3 linked regions of the Sus scrofa genome follow. The protein of the gene in region 3 interacts with the protein of the main gene of each other region in a biochemical or structural test. Links are inferred from orthologs where the notes say so. Each region holds a gene or a part of one and is shown on either strand. Other genes may lie near its edges. The genes, in order: CREBBP, CREBZF and ATF4.

Region 1 (3,629 bases), on a different chromosome or scaffold from region 3:
TTCTAAACACAGGCCATGGCCTCGGCCATGCCACGGCCACCCCCACAATTTTCTAAGCACAGGCTTCCTGGGAACATGATTCCACATGCTCAGAAATCATCCCAGATGCAGAAGGAGAAGCGGGGAGGCAGACGGAGAGCCAGAAAGGCAGTCCTTACTTGGCGGTCTCACGGGCTGGGCCTGTGGTATGCCAGGGGGCTGCGTCCCAGGGGCTGGTAAGGCGGGCTGGTTCCCCAAGATGCCTTGTTTGTGTAAACGTGACCTCCGTTTTTCTTCTAGTTCCTTTTGTATCTTGTAGATTTTCTCTGCTAATAAGTGATAGTACTCATCCTGAAAAGCAAACCTCCACACTAGTTACTCGTTACAAAGAAGCTCTGCGCGCGTGCGTGTGTTCTGACCAACTGACGATCGTTTCAATTGAGCACACTGGCGCAGGTGAGCATGAGCACCCAGGGATGGGACAGCATGTATGAGGCAGCAGGGACGAGGTACTCATCACAGGTGAGTCCACAGCTGAACCTCTTCTTGGATTCGCGCCGGCAATGACACAGGACAAGCACTGTAACCAAGGCCGCCACCAAGTAAATGCACAGATAAAAACGACTTCATCAGAGTTCCTGCCATGGCATACCAGGAGGGTGGCGTCTCTGCAGCGCCAGAACTGGCACAGTGGGTCAAAGGATCCAGTGTTGCCACGGCTGCGGCTTAGGTCGCAACTGTGGCTCAGATCTGATCCCTGCCCTGGGAATTCCCTGTGCCATGGGTGGAGCCAAACCAACCAACCAACCAAGGACAGAAAAGAAAAAAGAAAAAGCAGTTTTATCTATTGCAGGGGAGACATCAGTAGTCGGTAGTTACAAGACAAGAGCTGTGCAGGGAGGGACCTCATGTCTTAACTGAGAAGACTCCCCGGTCAGTGTCCTCAAGTGACGCGTCTCCCAGACGAACAGACGTCCCTGTTTCTGGACAGGTGCAGCCGCGGCTCCCACAGGTGCCGGGACCCAAAGGCAACCTACCCTGCTGTTGGCAGACTCGTACATGTCCCCTTCCACCTTCTTCGCATAGGCCACCAGGTTCTCCATGCGGCGATCCTTCAGGGCTGCGGGGTCAGGGGTCGGGAAGATGGCTTGGACGCTGAAAGGACAATGGGGTCAGTTTCTACCATTCTGAGCGGCATGGAAAGAGAACCAACCAACCGCCTCTGTGGCAGTACACTGCCAAGCGACATCCCCAAATTCCTCTTGCCCGGTATATGAAGACATCAGTGAGGTCACTCTGGAGAGAATCCTGACCTGTTAACTTCTCTACACGTCAAACACACCAGTATCTTACTATTAACAGTAAGTACTTCATCATCTCAAGAATAACATGATTTCGGGGTTCCCGTTGTGGCGCAGCGGAAGTGAATCCAACTAGGAACCTTGAGGTTGCAGGTTTGAGCCCTGGCCTCGCTCAGTGGGTTAAGGATCTGGCGTTGCCGTGAGCTGTGATATAGGCCAGATCCTGTGTTGCTGTGGCTTTGGTGTAGGCCGGTGGCTACAGCTCTGATTAGACCCCTAGCCTGGGAACCTCCATATACCCCGGGAGCAGTGACAAAAAACCAAAAAAGATTTTGAATTCCTAATATTTAAACGATTTATTAGCAATTTTTTTTTCTGTCTTTAAGGGCCACACCTGTGGCATATGGTGGTCCCCCCCCTTTTTCTAACCCAAAATTTTTTGATGAAATTAATGAAGGAAAAAAACCCCTCCAATGCCAGTCGATTAATCTCCCCTTCAATTTAACTTAACTAGCTGGAGAAAGTTAGCTGTTAATTTCTTGTATGTTACATGCATGACAGCATTATCAAACCATTTGTACTGACGAAGCCCAAATTCCTCCAGTTCTCTGGGGTCTCCTCAACTGTGATCTTGAGCCACAAAATAAAGCAATGCTTCTGAGCTAATTCCAGCTCCCTGGTGCAGCCGGGGCATAGAAAACAGGTCTGGCCCTCTGCGGGGCAGAGCTGCAGACGCTCTGACACCACCCAGGGTCTGTGGGATCCTCCGGCCCCTCAACAGGCACGTGGTTCCCTTTGGCTGCCAGGGTACGATCACCAGGGGCCCAGGAGACCACGAAGGAACCGAAGCAGACATCAACGCAACCGCTCAACTGCCCCATCACCTCGGCCTCAGAATGTCTCCATCCCACGTGAACGACGCGGGAGGTGGCCACGTACAGTTTGTGTACTAGATGGCTGCGCAGGTCCTGAGTGACGTGTTCGTGCCAGCCTTTCCGAACGCCAGTGCTGGAAGGAGGTGCTGCGGAGGGTAGAGTGCTGAGGGGTCCGATGTTCCCAGAGGTGGCGCCGTCGCTCATCAGGGGGCTGAGGGAAGAAGGGCTCTCAGCCGACCAGGCCCTTCAACCACATGTGGCTTTCAACGTCACTACCTCTTCTACAGGCAAGACGGAAAGGACGGGAGGACGGGGGGACGGGGGGTGGGGGAAGCAGGGAACAGAGGGAGACGGGAGACGGCCCCTCCCTGGCCCCAACTATAGCCCCTGCCCCACATTTAGAAAGACTCAAGAGTTCACACACTTGCATGTCTGACTGTCGCTCAGATAGGAGGCAACTGAAACAAATGTCTTACTTGGTGGCCCCAAGGGAAGTTGGAAGAGCTGATTCTGAAATCAAGCTTGGTGGCTGCTGATCTGTTGTTATTCCGCCTGCTGGAATGTTCATTGGGTTATTTCCTTTAAAGAGAAAAAGAAAAGAAATCAACACACTCCTAAATTCTCATATACACATCAAAGTCCCGATAACATAAATAATAAGTCACATATAAATAAGTGATTCTTTTTTCGTCTTTTGTCTTTTTAAGGCCACACCCGTAGCATATGGAAGTTCCCAGGCTAAGGGTCTAATCGGCGCTATAGCTGCCGGCCTACACCACAGCTCACGGCAACACCGGATCCTGAACCCACTGAGCGAGGCCAGGGATCGAACCCACAACCTCATGGTTCCTAGTCGGATTCGTTTCCGATGCGCCATGACAGGAACTCTTTGTTTTTTTAAGTAAGTGATTCTTATGAGTTTTAATAATAAACCCCATGGCAGGAATTCTGGGAGTTCCAGAAAAATGGCGATTGAATTGTTAACCTCACAGGCAGATCCCTTCCCACGACACTTTACAGCTAAAACGAGGCATTGTTATGGAGGCTAGCTGGTCTCATGAGTACTCTATGACTGTGGAAAAAGAAATTAGAAATGACCCATTTGTAGCTTCACATTTTGATTCTGGCTTCATTAATATCATGATTGAAACAAGTAAACTGACCTCTTACATATTTCTGTCATATTTTGGGTTTTGTTTGCATATCAGAAAATAAAATCATAGAGATTAAGTGCAGGCAAAGAACATAAAAGGTCGATTTGTCTACAATATCCACCGTGAAGGAAGAGGAAGTTGAGACAAAGCGAGGTGCACAGTCTAGTCCCGATCAGGCCATCAGCAGAGGTGGGGTCAGACTGGTACCCAGGTTCCGGGACTCCAACCCAGTCGCCCAGTTAGCAAGAGTAAGTGATGCATGAGGGCAACTGTTTTCCAAAAAGCAACAATGAGTTGTTTTCAAACTGGTCATTTTTAAG
Region 2 (4,171 bases), on a different chromosome or scaffold from region 3:
CTTATACTACCTTTTAAAATAAAGCAGGAAATGTGGCCAGCAGCTGGTCCCGTCTCTTCTGCCCCAACAGCTGTATCCACTTTAGCACAAAGAAAAACAAGGATGCTAAATACGTATATACTTTATCAAACAGTGATGTTTCACAAAGAATTTCTTAATGCCTCTTACACTGAAGGACATGGTGACTCAATCCATACAACTGGACAATAGAGTACTTCAAGGGAAGACTATGTCCCAACTTTGGGAAAAGTGTCAATTGTGTCATTAGGTAGCCAGAACCACTCAATTTCAAAACTTATTTTTAAATAGGTCAAAGACTTAAAATATGGAAAATAAGATTCTTTGTGAAACCTCACTTTACACGTTTTCATTCACATTTCATAACCGTCAATAGCTAATCATACATAAATTTAACCTAAAATTTTAGTACAACAAAAATAAAGGTGTTCAACAATTTATTCATACTCAGTGATAGGATAATCACTGTGCTGGTCCTCAAAGAGACATTCCATTGACCATGCTTATTCCCCCTTCAATTAACCAACACAGGAGTCTGATGTGCACATTAATTTCCAATTTCTCTAATGGTGATATAAAAACCTATAATCTGAATAGACTGTATGTCTAGACCTAAGAAAACTAAAAGGCATTCTTGATTATTCAAGAGATTTCTGTTATCTCCGGCAAAATAACTATCACATTTGTGCATGCCCCAAGTACTTATTGTCAACCTCTGAAAAGTTGCTCTAAAATTGGAATTCCAATTTGCACCTTGTACAACTCGGAACTTCCATTCAACTTCACCTGTGTCACTGTCTCCAAACTGTATCTCTATTAGCAGCTTTCAGTGTACAGTTGGAACCGATGTCATCCAAGGCCATGTCCACACTGGGGACAGAAGAGCTAGGTACACGCAAGTCTGAACAAGGGGACACATTAACAGCTATTTCAACCAGAAGAAGCATCTTGAATACATTACTGACCAGCACAAGTCTGTTTCCAGGGTGGACAGGGCCCAAATTAGATTCCCCTCCCACCTTCCAAAAAAGAAAAAAAAAAAAAATCACACACACACACACGAATTGAGATGTTGCCCATTAAAGTAGACTAAGCAGCAGAGCATGAGCGTTACGTGAAGAGATGGATCCTTACCAGGTTGTGAGGCGGGAACGACTGTTCTGTAACCCCTACAACGGAGCCTGGCAGGAAGGAAATCACCTAAAAAAGAAACTGTCAGAGAGATTTAATAGTCACATGTTATCATTAGGAGTTGGTTACAGTGTCACATTCATGCTTTTAGCTAAACACTTAAAGATTCAATATTACTTTTTTTTTTTTTTCCTCCTCTGAAATGTGTCCAGTGAAGATGTCCCACTAAGGTGTTTTACATGGTGTAAGGGAGTTGAAAGGGGTAAACGCGGATAAAGAGCAGATTACTTGACCCTACATTTTAAGAGAAGACGACGCCTTCCGGGCGCACGCTGAGCAGAACTCCACCGACACCTTATCCTTGTCCACATGAAGACACACTCCTCCGGCTGAGTCGTCCTCTTCCAGCAGGTCCTGCTGCTGCTTTCCCACCGGCAGCGCGTAGTCATGGTCCCCGGCGGGCGAGTCTCTGAAGAGCGAGGTGGTCAGCCGCAGTCCCACGCCGCTCAGCCGGCTCAGCAAGCGAGCCAGTCCGGTCTCGTTGGCTAAGACGGCCCGTAGGTAGCGACTCTCCTCCTGCAGTGCTTGGACGCGCTTGCCCAGCTCCCGATTCTCGGCCCGCAGCTCCTGGTTCTCGGCTGCCAGACCCCGGACTCGGCTCTCCAGCCCCATCACGTACTCCTTCTTCTTCAGCCGATTCAGACGAGCGGCCGCCGCCGCCGCCTTCCGGGGACTCTTTGTCGCCGCCTGGTTGTTGTCGTTGCCGCCGCTGCTGCCGCCGCCGCCTCCGGGGGACTTTCTCCGCCTCTTTTCGCCGCCGCCAGTGTCACTGCCGCTGCTGCAGCCGCCGATGCCGTTTAGCAGCCTCTGCAGCAGGTCAGAAAAGCGCTGCATCTCAGCGGCCGCGGCCTCGTCGTCGTCGTCCCCTCGCCACAGGCCACCGCTCTCCGAGCCTCCGCCGGACGAGGAGAGAGGCCCGGGCGAGCTGAGCCCGGGCTCCAGGTGCCAGTCTGGCTGCCGGGGGTCCAGCAGATCCGCCAGTTCCAGCCCGGACAGAAAGTCCATGTCCTCCGTTTCGTCCCCGGGGACGCTGGCGACCGCCTCCTCCTCCATCTCCTCGGGCGAGGGCGCGCGCACGGCCACGCCGCCGCGGCCCCCCCTCCCGGCCTCCGACTCGCCCTCGTTTCCGCGAGGCTGTTTGCGGCCAGGAGATCCGGCCGCCGCCGTCCCCTCGTCCTCCGCCGCCGCCCGGCTCAGGTCCGGGGGCAGCGAGAAGGTCGCGGCCGGCGCCGGGCTCTCGCTGCGGGTTGGGGAGTCGCTGCCCGAGGCCGCCAGCAGTTTGGTCAGGCTATGCCTCATGGGGCCCGGCAGCGGGCCCACGTAGGCCCCGGCCCCTCAGACCGGGCCTCGCGGGTCCCAAGGACCCAGAGCAGGTTGCCGGGGTGCAGGCCAGAACGAAGTGAAGGGGAAGGTCGGAGTCACCTCCCGCCCCCACTTGGCTGGTCGACCCCCCGCGCTGCGGCGGGGGGGGAGGGACGGGAGATCGGAGCGGCGAGGCCCAACGATGACTCGACCGCGCCACCCAGACAACGGCCTGGCCGGAAGTCGGTCGATCTCGGCCCGGCCCCTCCCACCACATTTCCCGCTCCACCAGGGCCTGGTATCGCGAGAGTTCTGTGAGGTCGAGAGTAGGAGTAACTCCAGATTTCCAGTGATGTCATAGTAACAGAGGCAAAAATAACAACAAACCTAGGATTTATCTAAGGAGTGGCCACTCCTCTGGGCCCTCAAGTCTCAGTCCCTGTATTCTAGCTTCCATCTGCAGTAAAACCACTGTCATTCGAAATGATCTTTTAGATACACCAAATTTATGAATTTAAAATTATCCTGATGATCAGATTCTTCTTGAAAATTATTCTTTTCTCCTTTCGTTATAACATGTGATTTTTTTCAAACACAGAATACTGGAAGAAAAGAGAGGTAAATAAGTCTTTCATATATAATTTAATTTTTCCAAGTTTTTATTTTAAAAATTTCCAAATATACAATATGTGAATATGTATGTAAAAGAATATTGCAGTATATACTCTAATTGAACACTACTACCCAATACTCAGACTTAACAGTTCAACAATTGTCCTTTTGTCAAATGTGCTTTATCTGTATGTAAAGGTTGGTAAAAACAATTTTTCTTTTTTGCAGAATCATCCCAAAGTTGCAGATAAGACATACTCCCAGAATTTCATACTTTCTCAGAATTTTTCATCTATATTTGAACATTAATTCTTCCAGATAACTTTATAACATTTTCCAAGTTCAAAAATAAGCTGGAATTTTCGTGGAAGTTGCATTAAATTTATTAATTTATTTTTCCCAGTTACTTTATGCATTTTTTGCTACTAGACTAGATTATTTCTTCTTTTATATTTTCTAAATGGTTATCATTGCTACATAGGAAAGCTGTTGATTTTTTTTGTTAAATTCTTAACTGATTCACCCACTGAACTTCCTTGATAGTTTTTATTTTTAGCTTATTCATTCAAATTTCCCTGGTAGACAATCATATCACCTTATTGTACATAATGACAATTTTGCCATCTTCTTTGCAATACTCACTTCATTGTACTGACTAATAATGAAATAGCACTTCCAAATTGATGTTAAATAATGCTTTTAATAACTAACTTCTGTGTCTTATTCCTAACTTGAACAGGAACACCTGTAGTGTCTAGCTGTTGATTTGAGATGGATGTTCTTACCAGGTTATACTCAGTTGTAGGAAATAGAAACCAATTCAAGTATTTTAAGCAGAAAAAGATGTAATGGAGAGAAGGTGCTTACAAAGTAACTGGAAGAACTAGAGGAGGGGCATTAGGCTGGGTGATCAAGAATGCCTCTCAGTATAGGGTGGCCAAACAGGCCTGACAGGGAGCAGCTATTTCTGCCCCAGTTGGGAACGTTGTCAATAGAAAGCTGGAATGTTGGCCTCAAGAATGCTGCTGCTGCCAGTACTATTGACCCC
Region 3 (4,234 bases):
ACTGGAACATTTATCTGAAGAAATCAGTCATCAGCAGTACGTTCACTACAAAATAATTTATTGCAACACACAGCTAAAGCCCTAGCCTATGTACAAGCACATGCACACCCCTGCCCGGCAGCTAGGGGGCGCGTTTCTTCCCCGTGCCTTGCGGACCTCTTCTATCAGATCTTTGAGATACTGAATCTCCTTGGCCAAGGAATCTGCCTTCTCTTTCAGAGCTTCGTTCTTCTTTTCCAGCTCTTTACATTCGCCAGTGAGGGCCTCCTGCTCTGCCCTCTTCTTCTGGCGGTACCGAGTGGCTGCTGTCTTGTTCTGCTCCATCTTCTTCAGCTTCTTATCTAGTTTCTCACCCTTTACTTTTGCTGCTACCACCTTCTCTCCAGGAGGATCATAGGGTTTGGGCCGGACAGAACCACAAGGGGCCCCGGGAGAGAGCAAGCTCCTACTTGGAGAGGCCCTGGAGGTGGAGGGACTGTGCTGGGGAGAGCCCAGATAGGAGTCAGGGCTCATACAGATGCCACTGTCATTATCTGAGGGGGCATCCTCTTCCTTTATGCATTGAGGAATCAAGGTAATGTAAGTAGTGGAGTCTGGCTTCCTATCTCCTTCCGAGATTTCCACTTCACCCTGTATCTCTAAACTAAAGGAATTATCTGGAGTGGAAGACAGGGCCCCTGGGGAAAGGGGAAGAGTTTGCAAGAACGTAAAGGGGGCAACCTGGTCAGTTGTTGGTAAACTTTCTGGGAGATGGCCAATTGGGTTCACTATCTGCGGGGGCTCCTGGAGTGGGGGGTCAAAGAGATCACATGTGTCATCCAACGTGGCCAAAAGCTCATCTGGCATGGTTTCCAGGTCATCTATACCCAACAGGGCATCGAAGTCGAACTCCTTCAGATCCATTTTCTCCACCATCCAGTCTGTCCCGGAGAAAGCATCCTCTGCAAGAGATTTAAGAGGGACGGAACCCAGAGTCAGATGCACGCGGCAGCAAGGCTTTATCACCAGACCCCACCGGCAGGGAAAAGCCCACTCACCCTTGCTGTTGTCTGAGGCACTGACCAACCCATCCACAGCCAGCCATTCGGAGGAGCCCGCCTTAGCTTTGTCGCCGGAGAACCCATGAGGTTTGAAGTGCTTGGCCACCTCCAGATATTCGTCTAAGAGCCCTAAGCTCTCTTCAGCCCCCAAACCCGACGGGTCGAAGGGGGACATCAAGTCCCCCACCAACACCTCGCTGCTCAGGAAGCTCATCTCGGCCATGTTGCGGAGTTTTGATGGAATCGAGGAATGTGCTTAATTCGAAGGTGTCTTTGTCGGTTACAGCAACGCTGCTGCTGAATGCCGTGAGAAGCCTTAACAGGAACCAGAAACCAAGCCCCATTAGAGAACAGCTGGTCTGAGCCTTTCGCCTCTCCACCCCCGGGGCAGGACGGCCAAATCCCGACCCCGTGTGGTTGTTGAGACTTGGGGGCCGCTGGCCCCGGCTGCCAACCTTCCCCGCGTCCGCCTGGCGGCGCAAGATGGACGCCCGGCCGTTCCCCGACCCGCCACCAGAGGAAGGCGCCCGGTCCTCCCGGCCGAGTCCGGCCCCGCCCACGCCCGCCCGTGACTCACGCCGCGGCCGCCGCCCTGCCCCGCCGCCATCTTGGCTGCTGCCACGTTTCGTGGAGCCCCAGGGGGAGCCCCGGCCCCCCGGCCGGGGCCGGAGGTACCGAGGACTTCGCCCCACGCCCGAACAGCGCAGCGGCCTCTCGACCCAGGGGCGCTGGCGCTTCGGCGTCACCCCATCAGCGGCCACGCGTCCCGGGCGCTCGTAAAACCGCTTCCCCCTCCGCGACGCCGCCGGACCGCGCCCCAGCATCAGACAAGAACCCTTCACCGACCCGGGGGGACACGGCCCAGAGCGTCGGGCCCCGGTACTTACGCCATGGCTTAAGCCGCTGGGGGGTGCCGCTGCAGAGCCTGGTGCTGCTGCCGCCGCTGCAAAGGCCAATGCTGCCGCAGGCACTGCTGCCTCTAATACGCCATGGCGGCCGCGGACCCTGCGGGAGCGGAGGAAGAAAAGCGCCCACTCGCAGAAAAGGACTACATCTACAGCGGAGAGGAAAAGAAATGGCGGCGGTTCGCCGAGCGCGGGTCCTTTATAGACTCTGCCTCTGTGGGACGCATCACAGAGAATATTCTTCCGCCTAGGTCACGTGACCAGCGCCTCCCACCCACGCGCTTTCATTTAACCGACGCCCCTACCATTTCCAGTCTCTGACTTTTATGTCGAGGGCGAAACTGTGAGGACCAAATGAGTTACTTTTATTTACAGCCTCAAAAAAGGGCGCACTACTTTACAAGGCTTTTGAGATCTAAGGATCACCACCGTCCGCTGCCGGGATGCGCGGAAGGATCTTGCACAGCTACTTCCGGTGCTAGCCCGAGAGGCGGAGACGAGTCTTTCACCCCAAGAAGGGCTTTTATTGTGAAGTACGAGGTCTCCTGGTTATCGCGCGAGCTACTGGCGGAGAGCGCGCGTCGAAATGATTGGTTAGGCATGGTGAGTCATATATACATCGAGTTTCTATTGGCTCAGGCTCCGAGGCGGGCGGGTTGTTCAGCGAGGGAGCCCCTGATCTGCGCGGGAAGGTGGGTGAGGTTCCCGCCGCCGGGCCCCGGCGTCCTGCTCGCCGTAGCGCCGCTCTGCAAAGGCTCCCTCAGCCCCGCCCACCCAGCTGGCCTTGATTGCCCCGGGCAGCCCTGGCCCAGATCCAAATAGTGGCGTTAGGTCCGAATCCTCGTGGTCCTTTCCTGCCGCCCTTGGAGAAGCTCCGAACTAGGGACCGGGTTTAGGCCCGAATGTGAAACTAGTCAAGAGTAAATGTTATTTCGTCTGTTTTCACTTGCACACACTTGCAGAATACTGAGGACGTGTGAACCCTTCAGTAACTGGAAGGGGAGACTGATGACCTCAGCTGAGATCCACCTACCATCAAAGGCCTGCTCTGCGTCCTGACTCAACTCTGTAGAGGCGAGTCGAGTGGAGGAAATCCATAATCCTGTGGTCTAAACAATTGTATTTTTACATATCCATTCTGCTAAAATACAAGTTTCCTTTTATGTTAAAGAATGAAACCTATGACAGGGGAACTTCTTTCAGTTTATGTAGTTTCACTTCCCCTAAAAATGAGGTATTTTATTTAGCTGCTCTTTCTCACTCTAGGGTAGTTTCAATTATTTACCAACTCTGTAACTCCGCGGCATAACCACTTCCCAGCAAGTCCTACTGCCTGGGTGCTTGATCAGACCTGCCCACTTAGGGGAATTTGTGTGTTTGGAGGCCACAGTCCAGGTTAGGGCCAGTAACTTGCCCTCTCTACTGGGGAACTGTCAAGAGCTAGGAGAAAGCTCTTTCACCATCTTCCAGTCCTCCAATCAGGCCCTGTAGGGAAACCTTGAGTTTCCACTCCCCTTCATTTCAGTGGGCCCTACAAATATTATTTCTATGAGGACAGTGAGGTCAAAAATTGGTCAGGCACTTCCTACATAACAACTAACCATTCATTGATTTGAGTCAGTCTAGCCCAACCATTTCTTTACAGTGGTAAGCTGATGACTAAAGGCATGACATGTCTTGCCTGGTGTGGGCAGTATGGGGTAGGAGTTATGACAGATTTAAGGGCCAATTCCAAAAAATCTTGGCTTTCCCATTTATTAGTGGAGACATTCTGGTTAAGTGACTTACCCCCACTGAGTCTTCGTTTCCTGATCTGTAAAACGAGGCTAATGATGGGTATCCTCATCCTTAGAATGAAGTTAAGATAATATATTCACAGCACTGAGCCGTGCGCCTGGTACCTGGTAAGTGCTGGATAAATGGTTGCCATTACTCCTGTGACTAGAACGCAGGTCTTCTAACCCACCTCCCATCCCCATCATATCCTGCTCCCTCAGAGGACTGTTATTTACTGAGATGAAATCAACAACTATAAACAGCTGGTCTAGGAAAGCATACTGGATACTAGGTATGGTTTTTCTTTCCCCTTGGGGAATCTCAATTCTCTGGAAACATGTACAAGGCATCTGGTCTTTTGGTGCAAAGACAGTAAGAATCCCGAGCCACTACCCCCGAGCCACTACCCAAGTCTTCCAAAGGTGTCATTAAGGAGCCACGGGGCATGTCCTCCTCTCTGCTGTATGGGAGACTTGTCAGTGCCTCTTGATGGATGTCCATGCAGATGCTTAA

Evidence for each region.
Region 1: the proteins of ATF4 (region 3) and CREBBP form a complex in vitro, tested with the Homo sapiens proteins (2 studies listed by BioGRID). The link is inferred for Sus scrofa from reciprocal best matches to the Homo sapiens genes ATF4 and CREBBP.
Region 2: the proteins of ATF4 (region 3) and CREBZF form a complex in vitro, tested with the Homo sapiens proteins (2 studies listed by IntAct, with this or other methods). The link is inferred for Sus scrofa from reciprocal best matches to the Homo sapiens genes ATF4 and CREBZF.

Annotation. Positions count from the first base shown.
Region 1 is NC_010445.4:38,482,285-38,485,913, reverse strand, and holds part of CREBBP (CREB-binding protein), read right to left. Parts: intron 2,735-3,629; coding exon 2,632-2,734; intron 2,367-2,631; coding exon 2,220-2,366; intron 1,135-2,219; coding exon 1,017-1,134; intron 331-1,016; coding exon 159-330; intron 1-158. UniProt on the Homo sapiens protein: Acetylates histones, giving a specific tag for transcriptional activation. Mediates acetylation of histone H3 at 'Lys-18' and 'Lys-27' (H3K18ac and H3K27ac, respectively).
Region 2 is NC_010451.4:19,592,294-19,596,464, forward strand, and holds the start of CREBZF (CREB/ATF bZIP transcription factor), read right to left. Parts: upstream 2,822-4,171; 5' UTR 2,509-2,821; coding exon 1,448-2,508; coding exon of another isoform or gene 1,444-1,447; exon of another isoform or gene 1,231-1,443; coding exon 1,215-1,230; 3' UTR 1,153-1,214; intron 80-1,152; 3' UTR 11-79; exon of another isoform or gene 1-10.
Region 3 is NC_010447.5:8,742,927-8,747,160, forward strand, and holds ATF4 (cyclic AMP-dependent transcription factor ATF-4), read right to left. Parts: upstream 2,827-4,234; 5' UTR 1,928-2,826; intron 1,356-1,927; 5' UTR 1,264-1,355; coding exon 1,038-1,263; intron 942-1,037; coding exon 82-941; 3' UTR 38-81; downstream 1-37. UniProt on the Homo sapiens protein: Transcription factor that binds the cAMP response element (CRE) (consensus: 5'-GTGACGT[AC][AG]-3') and displays two biological functions, as regulator of metabolic and redox processes under normal cellular conditions, and as master transcription factor during integrated stress response (ISR).